Bombyx mori: one gene and its partner. The protein of the gene in region 1 binds, or shares a complex with, the protein of each later gene. Links are inferred from orthologs where the notes say so. Each region holds a gene or a part of one and is shown in the gene's direction. Other genes may lie near its edges.

Evidence for each region.
Region 2: signal peptidase complex subunit 2 (region 1) and signal peptidase complex subunit 1 share a complex: the UniProt entries of both Drosophila melanogaster proteins name them as parts of the signal peptidase complex. The link is inferred for Bombyx mori from reciprocal best matches to the Drosophila melanogaster genes Spase25 and Spase12.

The regions. Positions count from the first base shown.
Region 1 is NC_085110.1:14,727,795-14,731,873, forward strand, and holds the start of signal peptidase complex subunit 2, read left to right. Parts: upstream 1-1,221; 5' UTR 1,222-1,339; coding exon 1,340-1,357; intron 1,358-1,669; coding exon 1,670-1,735; intron 1,736-2,065; coding exon 2,066-2,199; intron 2,200-2,626; coding exon 2,627-2,779; intron 2,780-3,934; coding exon 3,935-4,079. Other genes in the region: histone-lysine N-methyltransferase SETD2, read right to left, coding at 1-53. UniProt on the Drosophila melanogaster protein: Component of the signal peptidase complex (SPC) which catalyzes the cleavage of N-terminal signal sequences from nascent proteins as they are translocated into the lumen of the endoplasmic reticulum.
Region 2 is NC_085123.1:9,320,463-9,322,733, reverse strand, and holds signal peptidase complex subunit 1, read left to right. Parts: upstream 1-1,271; 5' UTR 1,272-1,382; coding exon 1,383-1,664; 3' UTR 1,665-1,735; downstream 1,736-2,271. Other genes in the region: serine-threonine kinase receptor-associated protein, read right to left, coding at 826-940. UniProt on the Drosophila melanogaster protein: Component of the signal peptidase complex (SPC) which catalyzes the cleavage of N-terminal signal sequences from nascent proteins as they are translocated into the lumen of the endoplasmic reticulum.

The DNA.
Region 1 (4,079 bases):
CTAGTGCGCCTCGTCGCGACAGTCCTTGTCGCAGCCTTCTTTCGCTTCGCCATTGCTCTTCTACTCGGAGGCAGCAACAAACAACCTACAAAATTACATTACATATTTTGACAACAGTAATAACATGGTGGGGCTTACATATTATGACCTCTTTCGTTCATTGTTGATGCTGTCAATGCCACATGTGTTATAATATGAAAATTATATGATATCTAATGTTTTATGATTTAATAACGTAATTTAAATATTTTCTGCAAATCAGCAAAGTTTATCCATCGGTACTAAGGAAAAGGTACTAAGGAACAATTTTGTTCTTACATACCATCACTTTTTGGAACAACTAGTATTCCTTACATTTGTCACTGAACGAATAGTCGTATTTTGTCAGTTTAAAACAGTAACAAAACTTTGACCAATAAGCGACCAAACTAGTCTTTTTTAACTTATGATGGATGATTCCTTATTTGTCAAGAAAACCGCATACAGTCATTTATGTATTTCGTTATGTCGGAATTCATTTCAATTTCAATCCATTTCAATTTTCAACTTCAATTTGTTTTTTAATCATTTGTTTACGGCCACTGGTCACTTGACGTTTTACCCGCTTTCAGTTTTTTTAACATGTCTTCTAGACAATCGTTTCTATAAAAGAAAAGTTTGAAGGAGTCATTTTTAGAGATATTATTCTATTTCTATGTACTTGTAAACTTTTAGGAATACTAAACCTTTTCACTATATTATTACTTACTCTTTGATCTGAAAAAAAAAACTGCATATTGAAAAATCACGTTTCCGCCAAATAATCCAAATTGAAATTGGTGATGATTTATGTTAGTAATTTGCAATAACGGTGATTTATTAATTTTATAAACCGTTGAGTATGTTGTGCATAAATGCGAAATAATTAAATCAAATCGCTGGATGTGGCTTTTTGGGTTGTTCTAATACGCCCACTGAACCCCTTAGTAAATTCTCAACGTTTTATTTAATCACGTCCAAGACCTGCAGTATTGTCTATCTCTCCTATTTTAATTCTAAATCACTTACGGACAAAATACGTGACTTGGGTATTTGTATTTAAAAATATATTGTATGAATAACGTTCCCTTTGCGGTTTCAATGAAGAATCAAACAAAATGGTCTATGCTACTAAGCATTTAACATAGATAATACTCTCAAATATATTAAGTGTATAATCTATGGATAATACACTCTTAGCTGCCAAGTATCTGTCAAAAGTATCGAAAATTAAAATTAAGTTTGTCCTGGAAAAATTAACTGAAATCTGAACTTAAAATTTATAAAACAACGCTAAATAAGTTATTTTAATATATACAACATGTCTGAAACGGCGGAGGTATTTTAACGTTTACTTTAAAGATCTCGGCACCTTTAGTTTTCTTGCCAACTGTGCGTGGTGTTAGGACACGTCACTTTAAAATCTATTTACTTTTAATTTTATTCTACTTATTTTACTAGAAAATGACTGGCTTTAAAGTTACTAAAATCTTATTACTCTACTGATGTACTGATACTACTATGTACTGTTATGATACCCATATTCATGGTTTACCCCTTCGAGAAGGGGTAGTTTGGAACACCCGTGTCAAAAAAGTAAGATTTAAGACGACTATAACTTGGAAATTTATAGAAAAAACTATAATTTCAGGCTGCAAAGATCAACAAATGGGATGGTGCTGCAGCAAAAAATGCTGTTGATGATGCTATTAGAGAGGTAATACATAGTTTTGCTTATTAAAATTTTGTCCATTGAACATTTAGTAACATAATGTTCATGGCTGACGCACAAACCGTGCAGGCCAAGAAATGGGAGAGAAAAAAAAACATAATGTTCATTTGAATATAAAACTAAGCATTGTAACAATATTTTTTTTATTGCTTATGGGTGGCGAGCTCACATCCCACCTGGTGTTAAGTGGTTACCGGAGCCCATAGACATCTACAACGTTAATGCGCCACCCACCTTGAGATATAAGTTCTAAGGTCTCAGTATAGTTTGTGTTTGTGCGTAGGAATTAATTAAGTCTATAAAAAAATTTTTTAGGTAATGACTGGAGACTTAAAATGCAAGGAAAGCTTTGCTCTAATTGACGGTAGACTGTTCCTCTGTGCTCTGGCTGTTGGTGTGGCCCTTTACGCACTGCTATGGGATTATCTTTATCCATTCCCTCAATCAAGGTAAAAAACCACTAATGTATTTGACTGTTATTGTATAGTTGAATTTTAATTTTATTTCTTTTGAAATGCCAACGGTTACTCATAGAATTTGTCTATACTAAATTGTACTCAACTTTGAACTCATTAGTAACTTATAAGAGTTATGAGAATTTTATGTCTTAAAAACCGGAACATTAATCAGAAGAAGGTGCTATGCTCCATTTATACACCGTATTAGTATAAGTGCCTCATTGCCTTCCCTAAGTCTGGTGTGAAGGTCTAGATAATCAATACTACTCTCAATAGTTAAAACATCTACTTCATATTGCAACAACAGCTGCATTCACATTGTACTCTTTTAGTTCTGCTAACTGTATCGGTCCAGAGTAGAGTCTGTAGAGAGTGAAGATCTAAATAAGTTGATAAAAAAAATTACCACTATTTACAGACTGGTTCTAATCATCTGTGTGTCATCATATTTCATACTGATGGGTATTTTGACCCTCTACACTACATTCAAAGAGAAGGGCATCTTTGTGGTAGCCAAGGAGAAGGTTGGAAATAACACCAGGGTCTGGGAAGCCAGTTCTTATGTAAAGAAGTAAGTCTACTTCCTACTACTTGAGTATATCCTATATTGTAATAAAATCATTGGATTTTACAGGTGACTTAAATTTAAAATGAAGCACAGTGGTGGTTTCACTGGTGGTAGGACCTCTTGTAAGTCTGTACGGGTAGGTAGCACCACCCCGCCTATTTCTGCCGTGAAGCAGTAATGCTTTTCGGTTTGAAGGATGGGGTAGTCATTGTAACTATACTGAGGCCTTAGAACTTATATCTCAAGTTGGGTGGCGCATTTAAATTGTAGATGTCTATGGGCTCCAGTAACCACTTAACACCAGGTGGGCTGTGAGCTCGTCACCCATCTAAGCAATAAAAAATAAATTAAAAAAAAAACAGTACATTTATGACCAGCAAGTAATGGCCTACATTTGTTACGTACAGTAGCAAGTGTGATCTTGTAATTATACCTTGAATTGATACAAAATTGTATGAAATCAACCTTGCAATATGTTTAAATTAACAAAGATGTAAGAAACAATGGGGACTTCTACCTCATATTTAAAGGACTAGAATTAAAGTTATTGCAATAACAATTTTCAGCTTACACCGAACACCAAGTTGTTGAATCTACCCAGATCTCTTAATAATATTAAATAAATTAGATGTCTGCCTTTGTCTGTGTTTTTATGCAATTTTTTCCAGGCTAAGCTGGAATGGCCACTTAGGCTACCAGAGGGTAGGTAGGAAAAATTTTTTTAGGCAGACAAGCATACGGCTCACCTGATGGTGAGTGGTTATCGTCGCCCATGGCTAACATTAGCTGAAATTTAAAAGAAAGCTTAGGCTACAAGTTTGAACTTGCCTGCAGCAAGCTAGTGTAGCTCTGATTATAAGATACCCACTATATCTGTACAAACATGTATAAACAATACTAATATTAGTTTGAGATAGAATTGTGTTGTAGCAGAATTGTTACTTGTGAAAAATCTATGAAAGTTATATTTAGGCCTTTAATTTTATCAGATGGTTGGCTTAGAGGATTTGCTTACATAAAAGAGTAAATTAGAGAGTAGGTGCATGCACAAATTCTAATAAAATTAATTAATAATAATTGTCTAATGTAACTGCTGCGATTATCAAAGTTGTATCCAAATTTTACTTGTACTTTAATGTAATTATTTTAATTTTGTAGACACGACGATAAATACAATCTCGTAATTGTTATGCGAGACACGAATGGCAACACTCGTGAGGCATCCGTGACCAAGTCGTTTGCCAACTTCATCGACGTGAACGGCACTGTAGTTCAAAACATTGTATCTAATGAGATCACCAAG
Region 2 (2,271 bases), on another chromosome or scaffold:
ACAAAACATGATAACAACTATTAATTATACAAGGAAATAAATAAACAATACTACACTACATAATAACAACATTCAAGTATGCTATTTCCTGATTTTTATACTTATTTACATATAAAAAAAAGATTAATTCATCAGAGATTAATGGAACTATTAAATCAGAACCAAAACAGGTAACAGCTAAAACCAAGGATATCATACAAACAAAACATGTAAGCCAAGACTTGAATATAATTAATTTCACATTAGCAATACAAGGAAGTGAAAATTATAATAATTATCATTTATTTCTGATTTTCATTATAATAAAATTTACAGATAAGTCATTGTGTTAGAGTATTATGTTGTCAGAACTCCCATATCATTATTAATAATGTCAAGTACAACAAACCTTGAGCTGGTACAAGGTGACCCAGAATAAGTGAAATGTCAACATTTAATTTAATACAGGAATAAACTTCCGAGCTCGCTCCAAATTTGTATGCATTCAAAGTTGAAAAACTTGTATGTCATGCACTAGCCTCTAGTACATGAATAAAAAGCACGACGCGGCCCAAGGCAAACTGGCGCCGAGGAAACACACAAGTGGATATTCAAGGTGCTTCCTGCATGTCCGGAAAGAGAAGGTCGCAACATGCATAGAATGCACGCCGGCCAAACCTACTGTTCAGAACAAAACAACTAAAGTGAAGGTCTCATAAACGTAGCACGACGCCCGACATTTGTCAACGTGAAACACACCCCACTAATATTAGAAAAAATTATGTTTCCTATATATGTCACGACTAAGGCAAAAGCACCCCAAACGAATAAACAATAAAAACTTACCTTTGCAGGCAGAAATCAAATAATATCCGTCTTTTGTAACGTCACTAAAATCCAAATGCACGACTGGTCTCGTGTGGCCACCGCATGTAAGAGGAACTTGTTTAAGCGTTGTCATTTTGTTAAATTAATTTTGATTGTTGTACTTTGGAAAAATAAAACTAAATTATCTTTTTGTAAAACTAAAATTAACCTAATGAGTCTGATCGTACTGAATGTTGACAATCGACTGACGGAAAGGAAAAAGCAGTATTACTAGAAAATATCTTAAAACTACTATCAACATAGCTTTGTTGCAAGCCATCTAAATTTTAAGATATGGCTAAAAGTTTTTTGATAAAATAAAATTTAGGAAGAACAAAAAAAATATTGGCTAATAAAAAGAAACGTTTAGAAATCAGTTTTATAATACTGGTAATATCTTTTATGACGACGTCAATTTAGTATTGACGTGTCTATTGCTTGACGTTTAATGTCAGACCGTTTAATTGGTTACTTCTGATAAGTTTCTTCAAAATAATTTGTTGTTGTGGCAAGTGATATTAATCTAATTTAGCAAGATGGATTTCTTTACATCTATACCAACCCACATAGATTACGTCGGACAAGCAAAAGCAGAGAAATTATACAGGGCAATAATTACATTGTTCAGTATAGTTGGTTTTGTATGGGGTTATATAGTTCAGCAATTCTCGCAGTCAGTGTATATTCTTGGTGCTGGATTTCTGCTTGCTGCCATTCTTACTGTTCCTCCATGGCCAATGTACCGACGCAATCCTCTGAACTGGCAGGTTCCTAAGAACGGTGATGACAAACCAGCAGCCAAGAAAGGAAAGAAGTGAAATTCATTATCTCAAAATTTGTCTGTACAACTTTTACTTCTCAAATATATCCAATAGTTAATAAGTTTTAATTTTGTTTTATTTACATAACTGTCAATCTTAGTTTACACACACTTAAACGCACTATTATAAAATATGTACCAAATTAATCTTTTGAACTTTTAAACTAGCTAAGAAATATATGCACGTACTACAAAAATAAACTCTTACTATTAAGGACAAATGTTTTAAAATGAAACTATTATTAGTTACTTAGATAGATGTGCTCACAGTCCAACTAGTGTGAAGTGGTTATGAGGCCCATAGGCATGAACAACATAAATTATGTCATACTTGAAACATGAGGTCTAAATGTTAGTGCTATAGAGCAATGGCTGCCTGATCCTTCAAATTAAAACACATTACTGCTTTACAGCAGAAATAAGGTTGTAGGAACTACCTATGTGGGCTAACAAGATGCCTTAACACCAATAATTACAAAAATTATCATTTTTACAGGTTCGGTTTGTATTTCCTTATTAGTATTTCAGTGTTGATGTCAATGTTATGAACAATGATAGGTATGAATATCCAAATTGGTACCTTAATGAAAGAAAACATTTTCTGT